3 linked regions of the Oryzias latipes genome follow. The protein of the gene in region 2 binds, or shares a complex with, the protein of the main gene of each other region. Links are inferred from orthologs where the notes say so. Each region holds a gene or a part of one and is shown on either strand. Other genes may lie near its edges.

The links.
Region 1: arid2 (region 2) and SWI/SNF-related matrix-associated actin-dependent regulator of chromatin subfamily D member 2 share a complex: the UniProt entries of both Homo sapiens proteins name them as parts of the SWI/SNF-B (PBAF) chromatin remodeling complex. The link is inferred for Oryzias latipes from reciprocal best matches to the Homo sapiens genes ARID2 and SMARCD2.
Region 3: arid2 (region 2) and smarcc2 share a complex: the UniProt entries of both Homo sapiens proteins name them as parts of the SWI/SNF-B (PBAF) chromatin remodeling complex. The link is inferred for Oryzias latipes from reciprocal best matches to the Homo sapiens genes ARID2 and SMARCC2.

What each region holds. Positions count from the first base shown.
Region 1 is NC_019877.2:6,911,382-6,914,881, forward strand, and holds part of SWI/SNF-related matrix-associated actin-dependent regulator of chromatin subfamily D member 2, read right to left. Parts: intron 3,353-3,500; coding exon 3,191-3,352; intron 3,120-3,190; coding exon 3,022-3,119; intron 2,190-3,021; coding exon 2,054-2,189; intron 1,953-2,053; coding exon 1,830-1,952; intron 1,355-1,829; coding exon 1,253-1,354; intron 1,167-1,252; coding exon 1,113-1,166; 3' UTR 1-1,112. UniProt on the Homo sapiens protein: Involved in transcriptional activation and repression of select genes by chromatin remodeling (alteration of DNA-nucleosome topology).
Region 2 is NC_019881.2:4,001,028-4,008,408, reverse strand, and holds part of arid2 (AT-rich interactive domain-containing protein 2), read right to left. Parts: intron 6,891-7,381; coding exon 6,821-6,890; intron 6,405-6,820; coding exon 6,157-6,404; intron 5,826-6,156; coding exon 5,729-5,825; intron 5,651-5,728; coding exon 5,441-5,650; intron 5,368-5,440; coding exon 5,209-5,367; intron 1,751-5,208; coding exon 1,672-1,750; intron 1,593-1,671; coding exon 1,458-1,592; intron 1,348-1,457; coding exon 1,142-1,347; intron 253-1,141; coding exon 1-252. UniProt on the Homo sapiens protein: Involved in transcriptional activation and repression of select genes by chromatin remodeling (alteration of DNA-nucleosome topology). Required for the stability of the SWI/SNF chromatin remodeling complex SWI/SNF-B (PBAF).
Region 3 is NC_019863.2:4,295,591-4,302,971, forward strand, and holds part of smarcc2 (SWI/SNF complex subunit SMARCC2), read right to left. Parts: intron 5,359-7,381; coding exon 5,114-5,358; intron 4,888-5,113; coding exon 4,763-4,887; intron 4,461-4,762; coding exon 4,407-4,460; intron 2,767-4,406; coding exon of another isoform or gene 2,764-2,766; coding exon 2,726-2,763; intron 2,631-2,725; coding exon 2,500-2,630; intron 2,368-2,499; coding exon 2,296-2,367; intron 2,168-2,295; coding exon 2,054-2,167; intron 1,971-2,053; coding exon 1,817-1,970; intron 1,735-1,816; coding exon 1,618-1,734; intron 1,529-1,617; coding exon 1,466-1,528; intron 1,330-1,465; coding exon 1,071-1,329; intron 990-1,070; coding exon 676-989; intron 601-675; coding exon 480-600; intron 398-479; coding exon 234-397; intron 163-233; coding exon 28-162; intron 1-27. UniProt on the Homo sapiens protein: Involved in transcriptional activation and repression of select genes by chromatin remodeling (alteration of DNA-nucleosome topology).

The sequences.
Region 1 (3,500 bases), on a different chromosome or scaffold from region 2:
CTGAATTCCTATTTTACCGTCAACACCAGTCAAAGATCTGAGGCTTCAATTTACAACACTAGACATAGTTTATGATTTTTGTAATTAAAATCATTCACACCAAAAATCAATAACAGAATGTAAACTTTCAGAAAATACAAAAACAAAGAGTTGTCCATTATAAAATATACCTATTTTTTGTTGGACAATCTTGGCCCGACACAGAAAAGGTTTGATTTTTATAACAAACCCAGCCCCAACACACATAAAGACAAATATTGCAGAATTATTATTTGCATAAAAATATTTTTGAACATTTTTTTTTTAAACAAAAGACATTTCTGAAGCAAGTGTATTTAAAGTATGGCTAAATATTCAAATACAGGTGCATTGAATAATTATGGCTTTTAGAAAGTAAAAAAAAAAAAAAAAACACCCGTGAAGGACCACAGGATGGCAAGAACCAGTGCTTAAACATTTGTGTACCATTAAAAAAAAGGTTTTTACATTACAAGGCAGACATTACTTCAACCGGCTCAGTGTGGCGATGAAGAGCAAACAGATGCTTCCTGCACCGAGGAAGGTCCCCACCTACGTTTAAATAGACAAAAGGGAGACGGAAAAACTGGAAAAGTGCCGCCGGGGTTCATTTTATTTCAGATATGATGTTTGTTCTGAAGATTTTCCCTTTGATAACACCCTACTTTACAAGACAACAAGATAAATGAGGCTGAAATTGGAGAAGAGCGGTCTGGGGATTGAAAGGACTGTGACCCTTAGCTGAAGCAACAAAGAAATCTGCTGCAGGCTCAACGTGAGCACATGAGCATCGACAGAAAGGACTTTAATAGAGAGGAGGAGAAGTGATCATTGCACAAGCTTTAAGACACTGAAGAAAAAAATAAGGCTAGATAGACAGTGTACGACTCAATAACATGTGGACAGAACAGGCAAAAAACAGAAAAAAATGAAAGGTCAAAGGCGGTCTGCGGGAAACCTGGGATCATGGCTCGCAGAATCTATGTTTACTTAAAGACATAGAGCCGGGATTATCAATATTTTAAGGCGGACTGCTGCATACATCCGTTTCCGATGAGACGTGAGGCTGAAATCTGGTCGTCTGGAAGGCGTCTTCAGGTGAGTCGGATTCCCAACACCTGCTCCAACTCTTGTCTTCGCTGCTGCACCTTAAAAAAAAGAGAAAAAAAGCTCGTTTCAGTGCGTCTTTGGAATGTGAGCATCGGAAAACGCTTCGGCCTCTACCGTTACTCACTTTGGAGTAGACGTATCTACCCACTGCCTCTGGCATCCAGGGAGCCTCGTAGAACTCAGCCCTCCTCTCCTCCTCCGGGTTTCCGGTCACATCTGTCATCAGCTGAAGAACCAAAAAAAAAAAAATATGTCAGAAATATTTCATAAATAAGCTTCAGTCCGAATTCCCTCACTACTTGGTGCACTTTATAGGGCGTACGCCATTTTTTTTGGGTTGTCTAAATCAACATTTACAAAACACAAGTGCCCTGGAAATTTCCCAGATTGCCACTAGATTGGCAAATATAGACCACAATGCATTTCAAAGATTTGTCATTTGAATAAAACCTATTTCAATTTGTTTTTTTTTTACAATATCCACATTCATAAATAGTGCTTGTAAAATATTCATATTTCTTAGATTTTATTTTTGGCAAATGGGTGACGTCATATTTGCTGTCATTGATCATGTCAAGGTTACATTAAAATAGAACTGCAACATATGTAGAAAGCAGTGAGAGAATCCGGGTATAAGCCAGGAGAAACGCTTTAAGAAGGTAAAGAATTCTCCAGAAAAAGGTCAAAGGTGAGGACATTACCTTCAGATCTCTGCACTGAGACTTCAGCCAGTCCTGAATGAACTCCTGAGGACTGTTGCTGAAGCTCAGCATGAAGTCTCTCTCAGTCTTGAGTTGGTTAATATACTCGATTGTTTCATGAATCTGAAGTAAAAAAAAAGAAACAAATGAACACATTTTTACAATGAATGCTTACAACCAGCTGCAGCTGTAAAAAGCTTCTGCGGGAACTCCTGAGGCCACACCTTCATTTCTAGAGTGGCGATTTCCTGCTGGCTGTTGGCGGAGGACAGGAAGCTGTTCATCTGGGTTTTCAGAGGGTCGTCCACCTCCACGTCGATGTCATAGCAAGCGGTTTTCTTCTGGTCTGTGGGGTCCACACTGTGACACGGAAGAAAAGGGACTAATAGCTACTGGGAGGTTTCACGAAAAGGCTTCTAAAAACATCCCAGGCACGTCGTGTTTGTTGTGCATTTGTTGACAAAGCCAACGTTTGTGCTCACTGATAACGAAATCCAGTAAGTGTTTTCATTACAAACAGATTTACTTTGTTTCTGACTTTAGATCAAAAGCAGTATGAACTATATTTCACAGTTTTATGTTCTTCTCAGAGACAATTAAAGTCCATTTCTAGCTTTTCCAGAGCTTTACAAAAAACTCCACATATTGAAGAAGGAAATCCTTTTCACTGCAGAGGCAGATAGTAAGAGACAAATGATCCATGTCATGTTTTGAAATCTCTGGTCTGCATTTTAGTTCTCCATCCTATAAACAAAGTTATTTCAACAATAAAACTTTATGCTCAAGTTTTAAGAAGTCTTAGCATTTGCAACAAGCCAGAAATTAATAATGATTTCCAGTTTTAGGACAAATATTTGCTTCTTCCAATTATTCTACTCTTCGGTTAACCCCTAGAAGACTTCTCTTTAACCCCTTCATGCCTTACATAATTACCAATTCTACAAAAAAAGATATTCTTCAATGTTTTTTGGGTTCAAGGTGATGCCAAATTCAATGGAGTCTGGATTTAGTAATAAGTACTAACATACCCCATGAAGGGGTTAAAAGTGCTGCTGCCATTAAATAAATAATATTCCTTTTTCTATTCCTCATCATTTACTTTGGTTCTTAAATATATCACTGAACTTTTGATGTTTGTAGAGCTGCTCTTACACTCGCGCAGAGCGATGAAGAAAGAACAACCCCTCCCCACCTGATGATGTGATTGATGACGATGGGGTCAGGGTGCTGCAGCAGGCCCGCCAGCTTCATGGGAATCTCAGAGAACCTCATGCGTGGACAGTTAAAGATCTGAACAGGACACAGTAAATTAGAGCCAGGAGTCGGACTCTAATAGCCCCGCCCCCTCGCCAGAGTCTCACCTGTCTGAAGTAGCGGTTGCAGTTGATGAACTCCTTCTCGTGGCAGTCCTGCAGCTTGTTGTTCTTGATGTAAAGCCACAGGGCTTGCATGATGCTGGCCCGAGTCTGCGTGTGCACGCCCAGCAGACGGGCCAGACGGGGGTCCAGCTTGTACTGGGGGGGCTTATGGAGGGAAAAGGGGGGGTTAGCAAAAGGTCAACTAATCCTCAAAATACCTAAAGTCCTTTTTGATCTAGTTTCAAAGCGTTCCTAGAGGTTTTTTTGTTCTAATTTCAATCTAAAAGCCTGTGTCGTTTTCTAGGACATAGTT
Region 2 (7,381 bases):
GGTTCTGGGTGGCAGGGGGAGATGTTGGAATCTGGACCACCGGCCCTCCTTGCAGCTGCTGCTGAGCTGCCAGGGGGTTTGGTGTCAGCTGTTGGGGCAGATGCGTGGTAACAGGTGGGGGTGCCGGCTGCCGGACAACTGTCTGGTGGCTTGCTTGGGGGGGTTCGTGTGCAGTTAAAACAGTGGAGGGCGTGGCTGTGTTGGAGTTGAGGGTGGGGCCCGGTGCCCGGACAAAATGTGGGGGAGGTAAACCTAAAAAAACACAGAACAGAGTTTAGATGAAAAGAGAAACTTCCTGTCTGTGCGTGAAGACCCTTTTTTTTTTAAAAACGTTGCCGTCGGTTGTCGTCATGATTTATGGCTACAAAAACTGCCTGCAGGGAAAGAATCCAACAACACTGTCAGAAGAACAATCACTAATTTTTTTCTACAGTTTCAACTTGTTTTTTTCTTTAATCACAAAAGATCTTTGTAAAACTCCATCAAGAAGATCAAATGTGCGGCATTAACCGTATATGAGAACTGGACTCAGTGACTCCGCCCCCTGAAGTTCCAAACAGGAAGTACCCTCTGGCTCCAAGATGCCAAAATCCCATAGACGTCTATAGAGAAATAGACAGCTCCATTACCACACCATGGTCAAGGGGAATACTCGATTCTGATTGGCTGCTGGCTGTGCATTAGAAAGTGACAATGCACGCCTGCAAAAGTAGTTCCGGTCACATAGCTTGAATGTTCCGTATCACTGCGCCGGCTTCTTGAAAACAAACTTTAGCTTCATCCTCTGGACAAAAACAAGCAGAAAGAGGAGAACTTTCCCTCTGTCTATCTAACCCATCGTGACGACCAGCATATATATCGCCTTCCTTTGCCGCTGCAGTCGAGGTCGTTACCATGACGACACGATGCACCACGTATTAAATAGTCCGTTTTTGGGAAAAAGTGATTTCAACCGAAAAAAGAATAAAGTGCTAAAAAAAACAACGATTTATTTAATTTTTTTCTAAGTGACCATAGCGTACAGATTAACGCCCAGTTCTCTTATACAGTCAAATCTTTACAAACTCCATAACAGAATGTAAACACTGTGCTGTGGAGGTGTACCAATGGGTCAGCAGACTAAGGCAGTTGCCGGTCGTACCTGGAGGAGGGGCCTTAGCGTCTGCTGGCGCCTCATGTCGAGGCGCAGAAGGAGGAGTGGGAGGAGCCGGGTTCTGCTGCTGCTGATAGTATAACTGGACGGGCAGAGGGATGGCCCTCGGCCTGATCCCCACCAGCAGTATCTGGACCTGGCTGCCGGCTTTGGCCTCGTCCTGCCGCCGCATGGTGTGGTTGGGAAACACCGTCCTGCGACAGCCAGGATAAAGTCCGGTTATGGAGGACAGAGTCATTGCATTCATCGTCCTGCAGCTGAAGAATCTGATGGGATAAAGTCTGTGCTGATGCTGCAGACTCACCGCAGACACTTGAGGAAGCCGGTGGAGTTCAAGATATTGCTTCGTCCCATTTTGCTGCACGTGGATAAGTACTCAGAGTACATCTCTGACCGAGACACAGAGCCTTCAGAGTTGGTCTCGAAGTGTGCGTTTAACCTGTGAGGGAAGCAGAAACAGATGAGGGGGGAAAAAATAACAAACAAACAAATGAGTTATGAAAAATAAAGTATCTCACCACTGCAGCGTGAACTTCTCTCCATCCAGTTCAACGATCCCAGGAGGAGGTTGGGAGGACTGAACTGGGACCCTCGTTACTGACGGGACAGAAAGCATTCAGAGATTAATAAAAACTGGTTTTATTATCAAGCTGTAGAGGAAATGAGCGGCGACACATGCAGGTTCCTGGTTTCTCCACAAGAGGTCAGCAAACTCAGTTAAAGATCCACTGATGAAAATCCTGTTTTTGGTGTTTTCTAACACGTTTCTGATGATGAAGAACAACATATCAAGAAAATTAAATGAACAACTGCTTTTCTGAGCATCTCTTTATTGAAATTATTGTAAATCAGGAGCAGACCAAAAGAAATTGTTTGAAAAAGATTCTCTTGGTGACAGAGCTACAAACTCCCTGCTCCGCTCCATTCTGATAGCCCCGCTTTAATGGATAATAATTAAAAAGAGCACTGGGAAGGCTTTTACAATAAATCAAAGGACTTAAACTGTAATAATCCACATGTAAACGCAAATCCTATTAAAGGATTTCAACAGAACGTTTCCGTTTTGATGCAGTTTTGCAGCATCTGAGACTCAAACCCGCGGCTCCAGCTTCACAAAGACCACAGCGCAGAGCAAAAAAACTGTATGTTGGCAGACAAGTGTGTGAAAGAAGGCGTGTCTTCCCCTCTCAGGAACACAGCTCATGTTTACAACACAACCCAGCATGAGATCCAACAGCAGGAGAAGAAAACGCTGCACTAAAGTCCAGAAACCCAAAGACGTCCAGGAGGAGGTTCCCGTGCCGTGATGAAAGATCGCTATGCAGGACATTTGGAAGCGTGGTTCCCTGGATTTGTGCGAACGCTGAGCGCAGGAGAGGAGGAAGAGGAGCTGCGGGGGCACAGAACGGATCGATGGAGGAACGCCAGGCAGAAATCTGAATGAAGACGTTTCAACCACTGCTGTGTCAACCAGAGCAGCAATCTCTACAGCATGTGTTCCCTCTGCTCTCCAAAGTGGCACATTTGTGAATTCCCAGGACTAAAGTTTTTCCACTGCAGGAGATATTAGTGCCCAGAGACGTTCACTCACTCCTGAACATGCTGAGAAAAACATCAACTTATAAACCATACATCACATCTCAAAAAGCTTTACTTTCAGATGGACTTTAGGTTCATGTTTTTTATCTTTGGTAATTTAATCTGAAAGCAGTTAACGTCTTAAATAACTTGAATGAAAGCGCTTAGCTACTTTTATTTTTGTTTACACCACATTTGGACTAAATGGTGTCATTTATTATTAACAGGGACATAAGAATGTATTCACAGAATTATATATCTGATTTATAGCTTTATAGCTCTGGCTTTGTTTTAAAAAAAGTTATTTCCAATCGGTCTTCGAAGTACTTGAATTAGGGCTGCAGCTATCGATTCTTTTTGTAATCAATTAATCTAGCACAGGGGTCACCAACCCTGTGCCCGCGTGCGCCCATGCGCCCCCGAGCACCCCTTGTGGCGCCCGCAGGAAATGCACCAAAAAAATTTTTTTTTAATTGAAGCAAATATTCAACAATCAATCATGGGATGTCTGTCAATGACACCAATATCAACTCTGAGATAAAGGTAAACAAAAAAACAAATACGAAAACAAAAATAACCTTAACCTTTGTTTTGTAAAGGGTCCTTGGGTTCCTTGAAAGGCGCTTTAAATAAAATGGATTATTATTGATATTATTAATATGACTTAAAAAAATAAAAATAAGGGTCTATTACAAAAGTTTAAATAGATCAAATAAACTACACAATGTCTGGGCATTCTTATGATTCATGTAATGCAAAGATTTAGAGAATAGGTTGAGGTTGGGGGGGGGGGGGGGGGCTAGGAGGTATTTAGTAAACAGGTCCTGTGGCGCCCTTCATACCACTTAGTGCCCATGAAATAGCCCTCAGTCTCGAAAAGGTTGGTGACCCCTGATCTAGCACTTAATCGATCGATTAATCGAGTAATCGGATAAAACGATTTGTGTGTGTTTTTGAACAACCAAAACAAATCTTGCATAACAAAAATGATGTGGTTGTAAAATGAACAAGCATTTGATTTTAAAGATCCGCTATGATGCAAATGTTACTTTTGGTGTTTTTAAGTTGGTCTTGAGAAGTGGCGGAGCTAGAACATTTTGTATGGGGGGGGGACAGAAGACTTTGAAAGGGTGGCACAACACCAAAATGGAAGGCCATTAGAAATAAAAGAATCAGAAAAACATATTTGATCATTATCATTGTTTATGTTTCGTGTAAAAATAATGCTTTTGTTATTTTTGCAATACTTAAAGAAGCCTCGCGGTCCACCGAAAGGCGAGCTACCGCCTGTCCCAGCCCCTGCCTCTCAGCGCCCCCTCCGCGGCCCGCGCTGGTCGCCGCGGAGCGGCTGACGCCGCTTCTCGCTCGCTGCTGGCGGCACGCGCGGGTATGCCAGCTCTATTTCTGCCGTTTATTTATAGATCTATTCTCCTGGGGAGCCGGTTTAACTCGTGCTGGTTTGCGGCGCCTTCCATCCGTGAAACCACGGTTCGACTCCGGGCTGCTCCCTGTTCCCTTCTCTACCTCTGCCGGTTCCAAGCCCGGTTTGAGAAGGTTGCGTCAGGAAGGGCATCCGGCGTAAAACATTGCCAAATCTATCATGCGACTCGTTCGCTGTGGCGACCCCAGATGGGAGAAGCCGAAAGTGGAAGAAGATTTATAGATCTATTCTCCGCCATCGCGCCAACTAAATTCAAAAGGTCCGTGAGAATAAACGGTCAAATGAAATCCCTGCGCCGCGCGAATAGTGCGCGTCATGGGAATTTAACGAGGCTTCGAGGCAGAGTTTTTGCCTCGAGGAATTTTTGTAATCGAGTAACTCGAATAACTCGAGGAATCGTTTCAGCCCTAACTTGAATTATTCCATTTTCCTCCCGTTTACAGCAATTTTGAATGAGAGGGCAAAGATCCTGTGGGACTTCCAGATCCAGACTGGTAGGATGGTAATGGCGAACCAACAGACATTGTAGCGGTGGACAAAAAACAGAGGAAAGCCGTTGTGGTGGATGTGGCAGTGCCAAGTGATGGGAACATCAGGAAGAAGGAACATGAGAAACTGGAGAAATACCAGGGACTCAGAGAAGAACTGGAGAAAGCATGGAAAGTGAAGGTGACAGTGGTGCCTGTGGTAATTGGAGCACTCAGGGCAGTAACCCCCAAGCTGGAGGAGTGGCTACAACAGATACCTGGAAACCATCCGCGGAAGAATTCATTAGATTTTAACCTCTGAATTGTGGACGGGTCCACTGGCACGGAAGTAAGCCTCGGCTTATTTCCCATCATCTCTTTGTTTACACTCTCTCCCACTGGCTTACAGCTCTCACAACAACAACAAAACTGTTTTTGAGCAAACACTGCATCTTTACAAACATAAAACCCAAACAGTCCAGATGTACAGAGGCGTTTGCCCCTGAATCCGCCCCCAGGGAGCCCCAAGGGGGGAAAATGGCGTGTTTCTGAAACGCCAAAGTGCTCACCTGCTGCTGCCGGCGCCGATGCGGGGACCTGCTCCACCAGCTGTGGCCGCACCTCCGACACCTGCTCAGCATTCGCCTGATGCTCGATTAAACGCACCGCCGTCAACGCGTCGGGTCCGAACGTGTGCAGGTCCACGGACACTAGCCGCACCAGGAGGTCTGGGCGAATGAAACGAGACGTTGACAAACGGACCAGTCTGCTTCTGCTGCTGGGACCGGTTCTGGTTCATACCTATGCTGTGGTCAACGGAGGCGATCTTACTGCAGGACACCTCTCCGAGCTGAGCCAGCAGGTACAGCACCTCCAAGGAGGCCATGAGGAGCATGAGGTCGGGCAGGGTGAGGAGCATCATCACCTCCCTGTACGACTCCTGGTCCACATACTCGCAGATCAACACGCTGTTGTCGTCCGCTTTGCTGAGGTTCCCCAGGATCTCCATGGCTGAGGGACACACGGAGCAGGGGGGGGGGGTCAGCTCAATCTGACATAGAGGAGCCCAGGAGCAGGGAGGAGACTCACCCCTCATCTTCAGGAAGCGGTCTCTGGACATCAGGCATTTGGTGATGGTGTGAAAGATCAGGTGCGTCGTCCGAAAGTCAACGGGGTCGAGCTGGAGCTGCAGCGAGAGAACCGCATGTTCAAACCCCCCGCACACAAACAGAGGGGAGCGTCCAGCATCCGAGGCTGAAGCTGGCGTCTGATGTTTTAGCTTCCACTTTGACAGTCGAGAGAAAATCTAAAATCACATTTGAACGGTTCCAACAGGAAATCTAGAAACCAAGGTTAAAGACGCTACAGAGGAGGGAGACCATCTCTACCCTCAAAAGTTAAAGAAAACTGGAAACTTTAAATCAACGGAGACGCCAACTTCATTCTCGGACCGAGCGGTCCATGAAAATCCTGTCCGACATTAAACTGGTGAGAGCGCTGACGTTCGAGCGCCGTACCTCGGCCGCCACGTTGCCCAGCGTGTCGAGTCCGAGCTGTCTTAGTGAGATGAGGTTACAGTGGGCGCAGAGCAAAAGGAAGCGCAGGCACGTTCGGTTGGCCGCCAGCAGCTTGACGTTGGCCTCCTCGAAGGAGAGGTTTCGCAGGATGACGGCGACCTGCAGCACCCGCTGGGCCTCCATGTCGCTGATGCCCTGGTTTCGCGGCGGGTGGAAGAGGCTCTGCCAGCGATCTCCACACGTGCCGTCTGCGCAGACAACACAGGGGGAGGGCCTTCAGAGCCGCCAGGGGTTTGGACTTGCACAGACACTGACGCACAGCCTCCTCCAGATGTGTGTGTGTGTGTGTGTGACAGTACTAAAACATCTGCACATCTGTCCCAGTCATGAATCACTCCTGTTCAATTCTTTGCACATTTTTACTTGAATCTTCATCTCATTTGGTTAAGAAAACTTATCTGGCAGTTTTAAATAAACAAAAGTGAATTTTTTCATTCTTACTTTTTAACATCCAAAACTTGAGACAAGAAAAACAGCTTTAAAAGTTAATGGATTTATGGATTTCACATCAACCAAGTCTAGAGTCATGTGAACCCAGCCGGGTCAAACAAACATTCGATGACAGCTCGTCAAACACCCGTGTGCCTCCGGGCCACGCCCTCACCTTGGGTCAGGCCGCTTTTGTCCCAGATCAGCTCCCGGACTTCAGTGTCTTCCACCACTTCCCTCCAGAACTGTAAGGAAGTAGAACAGCAGCTCACACCTGTTTCCTCGTGAAAAGATGTAGCCTACATTTCCCAGGATGCACTTTGAAGGAAGTCAGGAACTCAGGAGTCCCAACGAGGTAAAGGGAGCGGGAAGCGCGCCGAGTTTAGTTTTTGGACTTTCCTGAAGTCCTTCAGGTACAATAAACAGCGGCGTTTCTGAAGTTTCTGCATCTACAGGGCTTGCCGAAACGTCACTGAAATGGCGAGCAGCGTTGTATGGCCCCGCCTACGCCCTCGCCGCCCCCGTTTAACCCAGGCATACAGGCTGCACACCCCTCATCCTCCCACCCTGATCAGAGCTGCAGGTGACAAAAGAAACGCGGCAGCTTTTCTGTTGAGTTTATCTCCATAGCAACCATATTATGTTTAAGTCCTCTGGAGGTCACAACAGATCGATGTAATCTGAAGAAGAATCTGCAAAAGTAAACTTTTGGATTTCCTTGACAACTGAGGATTTT
Region 3 (7,381 bases), on a different chromosome or scaffold from region 2:
ATCTGATCTTCTGCCAGTCTGACTCACAGCCTCCCTCTCTCTGTCCATAATGGTTTCCAGTTCTTCAAAATGTCGTAGTTTAATCTCAAGCTTCTTCATTTGGGTCTCCACCAGCAGAGCCACCAAGGATTTGATCTTCCTCTCTTCCACTGCGGCTAAATGCTGGAAAATAGGTGATTAAGAATCAGATGTTGTAGAAGTGGCTGAAGGCGATGAAATGAAGTTCACTTCACCTTGGCTTTGACAGCAGCAGCTGCTAAAGCAGAGGCGGCAGCAGTCGCCAGGTTTCCTTCTCCTACATCCCGTTCCACTTTCGCCTTTCTTTCTCCATCACTCTCTCCTTCTCTTTGTCCCTCTTCTGTTTCCTCTTTTCTGTCTTTTTCCTTCTCCTCATTGCCTGGAAGAAAAAAAAATGGTTTTTATCTTTCAACTTGGAGAAAAACTCAGTTTTCTCCGTCCATGAAGAAATCGTTTCACACCTATTTCCGCCTCTGTCTTGTCTCCTTCCCTGTCTCCTTCAGCCTCTCTTCCTTTCTCTTCTTCCTTCTTCTCATTCTCTGTATGCTTCTCCTCTTCCACCATCGTTCCTTCTTTGCTGTCCTGTGTTGTGAACCAACCCAGATTAAGACATGCCTACCCAAATTGAATTCCACCACTTTAAACTATGCAACATACTTTGGCCTCTTTCTTCTCTTCATTTGACTGGTTGTCATTTTTGCTTTCATCGTTGCTTTCCTCTGAGGGGAAGACAAGTCCAGCAGTTAAATGTCGCTGCACTCGTAGGGTTTCTGTGTTGTGCAGTTTGAATGCAGTGGATTCAAACCTACCAGGACGCTCTCCTTCCTCCAAGCCAGTTCCTGCGATGCCGCTACCTTCCAAACCATAGAGCGGATCCTGTCGGCCACTGACCCTCGCCGCTTCCTCCACCCGCCGTACGTGGGCCTCAACAAGCGCAGCAGGAACTTCCTCCTTCATCCGAGAGAATTCCTCTGAAAGGGAGGAAGTTCATGCTTGTAAATGTGGAGAACGTTAGTCAAGCATCACCAGTGCATGTAGAATCAATGCGTCACCGAGAGCCGACTTGGCCGCAGCGGACGCCACACGTGGGTCAACAACAGAGGCGAGGAAGGCCACAGTGCTCATGACGGGGTTTCCTGCTTGGCTGAAGGGTACCGGCTGATAGGCCAGAGGGCCCATCGATGAGGAGCTGTCCTCCAAGTATGGATCTTCAATGGGCAGCCGCAGGAAGTGCAGAATGCACTCGTCCTGTGTACGGCTGCCCACGTGTTCAGACACTTTGTTCCAGTCATCCTTGTACATCTCCAAACCCTGACAGAAAGGAGGACGTGATTTAGCGCCATCTCAGCTGTCCTACTAGTAAAGAGTCATAACACAATGTCTCACAGTTTTAGCAGGAAAAAACAGGAAATCACAGCCACAACAATGAACGTGAGACATGTTTTACCTCAAGGAGTAGTAGCGTTTCTTGTTCTGTCCACTCCCTCATGGAACTCGCTGCACTCTTGCTCTTCACACAAACATTTGTTGTCAAAATTGATTCATAATGATAAATTAAACTGATTAACAGTGCAGGGATTGTTGTAGCTGGTTTGTTACCTTCACAGAGCAAGTTTTCTTGCTGTACATGTCAGTCCGCAGCCCAAAGTTCTGCAGGTCTGTTGGCTTCTCCTTCATTTTATCAGGAAAAGACATAATTGGCTGGGGGGCAGGAGTCTGCAGGAAAACCGGGACGGAAGGAAAAAGGTCAATCGGGGTCAGGTTTCATTTGCATGAGAATGTCTGAGGATACACACACCTGGGAGGTCTTGGGCTGCAGTGGAACTAAACTGGATGGGGTGTCCGCCAGGACATGGAAGTGAGAGGTGGGTGGGGGTCCCATCGGTGTGGGCCGACTTTCAGAGTCCACTTGGTAGTTGATCAGCCCCCATTGTTCCAAAAAGGCATGGACTCTGTAGAGCAAACAAACAAAGAAGTACTGACAGCCTGTTAGCTGCTAGATGTGAGAGGAGATGTAAACAGATGCTCCACTTACCTCATGATGGCGCACACATCTCCCGCCAAGTTCCTACGGCAGGCGGTGGAGGTCAGATACTCCTGAGGGTTTAGTCTGTAGGTGTCAATCATGAAGTTTCTGTACGCCAGATAACTGACAGAACGAGACAGAGGAAGAAAACGGAGATCATCCAAAACGACACAGTGCATCAATACAACAAAGGTGAAGAAATATAGTAATCTGTTACTTTCTTTAAGGAACAGTATCTATGCAGGACTTACATCTCAGGAGTTTTGGATTTGTTCTTCCCATTGAAAAACTCAGGAAGGGCTCTGCGCTCGATGGCATGAACACTGCATCACAGAGTTTATGAAGAGCTTTGAGTTCATGTCACTATTGTAACGCTCAACTGTTGCAACATTGTATACTGAATATGATCCTGAAGATCAACTCCTGCTAAATAAGTTGAAAAGGGTCATTTGTACCTGTTGTAGTCAAACCAGGCAGCATAGCTTGGTATGATGATGTGGTGCGTTTGTTCAGTCACGTTGTCCTCGTGAAGATCTGAACTCTTCACTGGCTCCCCCTTCACACTCGGAGAGCCTTCCTCCTCTTCCTGTTGGAACAAGAACACCCGAGCTCAAACAAACACGTCTTTTCTGAATGTTTGCGTCCATGTTTTAAAAGCGCCGCTGCTGGAGGTGACAATACCTTCCCTGTGGTTTCCATGGACTCGTCCTCTTGCTCATCTGCTTAATTCAGAGTCAGTGGGAAATCGTTACCATTCAACATCCAGAAACAGTTCTTAGAAAATGAAGGAGGCTACAAGGCTACAAACTGAGAGGATGTAGGAACGTCAAGATCAAACTGATAAGAACCACAAAGAAAAGTTTCTGTGTGTGGCAACAAACTTTGGAACAAGTTAAGTAATGAGCTCAAAAAATGTTCAAATATCCAAATATTCAAGAAAAGGTATGAAGAAACTCTGATTTCACAATATGAAAATAAGAAGATTTAAGGATCAACAGCTGTTTGAATAATTCTAAATACATGTGTGAACTTGATTGTGGTGAAATAATCAAAGCTCTTTTAATTACAACCACTGAGTTTTACATTGTAATGTGTAATAATGATTAATGAAACGTTTAAATTACAATCAATAACTATTGATTTTGTTTACTTGATCTGCAATGTGCAGCAATAATTAATGGTTTAATGTCATCATGTGTTCTAATAATAATCAATGGTTATCACATATTGGTTACCGATACTGTTTACTGATATAAATAAATGAATGTTTTCTGAAGATAATCAATCATTTTGTTACTTGAAAAGACTCTATCGGATCAGAACCGGATTACAAAAACTGTAAAATGAATTAACTCAGTAGGGGTGGGATTATATAGGTTTGCTTATTCCCGCTGCTTTTCCAGCAATAAATCAAGCTATACTTATACTTTAGTTAATGATCACTGTATTTAATTAAGCAAATGTGATTTAAGTGACATTTTTGTTTTGTTTTGTTTTGTTTTATTTTCTGTCTTTTTAATCTATGCATTTCAAAATTTCTGTAATGAGTTTAAAAAATATGTGCAAATTCTTTATTGCTTTGACTACAATGCTTGAAATCAATCAATAAATCAAATCAATTCAACAGAAGAACAGCTAGTAATAATAAAACAGTTCCAAGGGGTGTGTATTGGCTACAGCAGGGGTGTCAAAGTCATTTTCACTGAGGGCCACATCAGCATAGTGGCTGTCCTCAAAGGGCCAGATATAACTTAGACATGTAACTAAATGTACTGATAAATAAATGTAACTACTCCTTAATGTTAAATAACTCATTATTTATTTATTATAACTTTTTAAAGCGACAATTACAGTTGCATAGAAACATATGTGTGCTTGTTACTCTAGCATAAATCCTTTTACATTTGATTCTGTCAGGTTAGGTTATATGGACAGTGTTTAAGTCCTAATGTATAGTTGCCCAATCCCATATTTCCAGTCAGATTCCCCTTAGATATGAATAAATATACACCAATTTTTCATTTTTATTTTAAGAAATTAAAAATTCAGGTCTCATAACAACAAAACCTGAACATTTAACTTAAGCTAATTCTCACGAGATCTGTTTTGGTGCATTATAGAGCTGCTCAAAGAGGCTCAGTGGGCGGTGCTGCCAACTAGCGGTCGGGGGCCTAAGAGGAAAAGGAGTCAGACGCTGATGGACGCTCATAAACAACTAAATAAAAATCCTCTTGACAGTATTTTAAATCAATACAAGTATCGTCAAATGAATTGTTGCGATACATCAACAAATAGAATATATTTTTCTCAACACCCCACGCAGTTGCCAGACGAATGCGTCTGCCCCCTTTACTAGACTCACCCATGTCAGTTCCTCCCTTGACTGGAGTGGAATCTGAGTCTTTCTTGGTATTATCTGCACAGAAACAGAAGGTTTTCACTAAGTAAATAGGTCCAACTCCAGGGCTTCTTCAAAGAAATCACCAGCCCCTTCAACAGGAACATCCGTGCAGTCAAGTTCTGTCAGCTTTACCAACTGTCCCACAAACACAAGGTTAGGATTTATTCGCCTTTAAGTGAAAGCTACCAAGGTGACAATCCTCCCTTTGTTCATGTTTCACCAACAGTGACTGAGTGAACGGTTGTCAGAGTGAACAATAAGGTGTGTTTTCACAGTTCCATCTTATCTAAAGTGAACAGGGATGTAAATGTGCATACTTGTCTTTGCTGCATTCCCATCTTCAGACGGTGGAACAGGTGACGTTTCATCCAGGTCCTTGGACAGATCCTCCTGTTCCTCCTCTCTCTGGCCTCGTTTAGACTTGGTGTATGGGGTTGTTGGTCTATCAGCACATACATGAAGGACAGAAGGTTATTTTGATCTATATTATAGCACGGCTAAACCCTGCAGTGTGTGTCGGGACTGGAGAAGGGTTTCGGACGCTGAATGAGAAGAGGGCTTAAGACAGGATCAGCTTTATCAAATGCATTTTTCTGTCAACATCCTTCCTTGTTCTGCATCCTAATTTCAGAGGCAATGGCTTCATGCATCCGGAGATGTCTGCATACCCTTTTTTGGTGTTCTTCTTTTTGCTCTCCTGGGGTGGAGGGGTGGGGGAAGGCGATGGGGAGCGTTTTCGCTTCTTGGCACTGCTCGGTTTCTTGTCTCTCCGCTCATCAGGTGTGGTCACCTCATCCGTCAGGGTCTTGGCAGAGATCCTCTTCCTCTTAGGACAGCCCTCTCCAACCTCATAGTCCTCCTCGTTCATCCACTCGTTGTACTGGTCCAAATCTAAAATCCACTTTGCATGGACCTGACAAACAGGACATTGATGTCTTGTTAGCATGCATCTGAAGGCAATGCAACCACTAAAACCTTTACGTAAACTCCTCAATTGAATTGGTCTGGCAAAGAACACGAAATTCACTTCACTTCTGCCATTGATTCTGGCAGAAATGACTCCCACTGATTGTAAAATTGAATAGTAGTCGCACCTTTTAAGTGCATTATTCAGTCAAGATGCAGAGTGGACTTTGATTTTTTCTTTTTCCAACTGTTTTGACTCTTAGCTCAAAAAATTAAAAAAGGATAGAAATGTAAAGAGTGAAAAATACAAGAAAAAAGGATGATAACACAACATCACTTCTACTAATTCTAAAAGAAAAACACAATCTTTAATCTTAATTTTAGTCCAAACAAGTCACAAGAGTTCTGCATGGACTTACAGTCAAGTCAAGGTTTTACTGCCGTTTGCACATACAGAACATCAGAATTTTTCTTTGGTATCTCTCAAGTCAGGGTAAATATAGGAAGGGCAAAATTTTAAAAAGAAATAAGATAAGTAAAATTAGACAACAAAAGTACGAAACTGGTTCTGCAGTCAGTCACAAGTTTTCCTCCACAGTGTACTTATTTACGTTTTTGCACTTAAAACATGACACAAGTCTGTATTTTCATCATATTTTAAACTAAATGAGAAAAAACAATCCAGAAAATCACATTGTCTGTTGTTTAGAGAGTCAATTATTGTGGAAAATAAGTATTTGGTCAGTTACTAAAGTTCATGGCATTACTTTGTTAGCATTGACAGAAGTCAAACATCTTCTGCAAGTCTTGAAAAAGTTTTCCCACACTGTAGCTGCTGTTTAGGCCCGTTCCTCCATGCACATCTCCTCTAAACCTGTGACCTTTTGGGGTTGTTGCTGGATTTTCTAGATGTGGAGACTGGCAACAACATTTCAGAACCTTAAAATGCATTTTTCTGTAGGCACACTGGTGATGTGTTTGGGATCACTGCCATGCTGGAAGATCCAGCCAAGTTTCATCCTCAATGTTTTCACTGATTGAAGGAGAACTTCACTTTGAATCTCTCCATATTTACACTCACCGGCCACTTTATTAGATAAACCTTGCTGGTACCTGGTTGGACCCCCTTTTGCCCTCAGAACTACCTTAACCTTTGGTGGCATAGATTCAACAAGGTTCTGGAAACATTCCTCAGAGAGTTTGGTCCATGTTGACATGACAGCATCAGTTGCTGCAGATTTGTTGGCTGAACATCCATGATGCAGATCTCCTGTTCCGTTCCACCACATCCCAAAAGTTCTCTAATGGGTTCTGGTGAGTGTGGAGGCCGTTTGAGTCCAGAGAACTCACTATCATGTTCTAGAAACCAGTCTGATGATTCCAGCTTTATGACAAGCTGCCTTATCCTGCTGGAAGTAGCATCTGAAGATGGTTCTCTGTGGTCATAAAGGCATGGACATGGTCAGCAACAATACTCAGGTAGGCTGTGGTGTTGGAACCATGCTCAGTTGGTACTAAGGTACGCAAAGTGTGCCAAGAAAATATCCCCCACACCATGACACCCCCACCACCCTGACGCGTTGATAGAAGGCAGGATGGATCCATGCTTTCATGTTGTTGATGCCAAATTCTGACCCGACCATCCCAATGTGGCAGCAGAAATGGAGACTCATCAGACCACACAACGGTTTTACAATCTTCTGTTGTCTAACACTGGTCACTGGACATTTTCCTCTTTTTTGGACCATTGTCTGTAAACCCCAGAGATGGTTGTGGGTGAAAATCCCAGCAGATCAGCAGTTTCTTAAATCCTCAGACCAGCCCGTCTGGCACCAACAACCATGCCACGTTCAAAGTCATTTCAATCACCTTTCTTCTCCATTCTGATGCTGGTTTGAACTGCAGCAGATCGTCTGAACCATGTCTACACATGAGTTGCTGCCATGTGATTGGCTGATTAGAAAGTTGCGTTAACAAGCTGTTGAACAGCTGTTGCTATTGAAGTGGCCCGTGTGTCTAGATCCATTCCT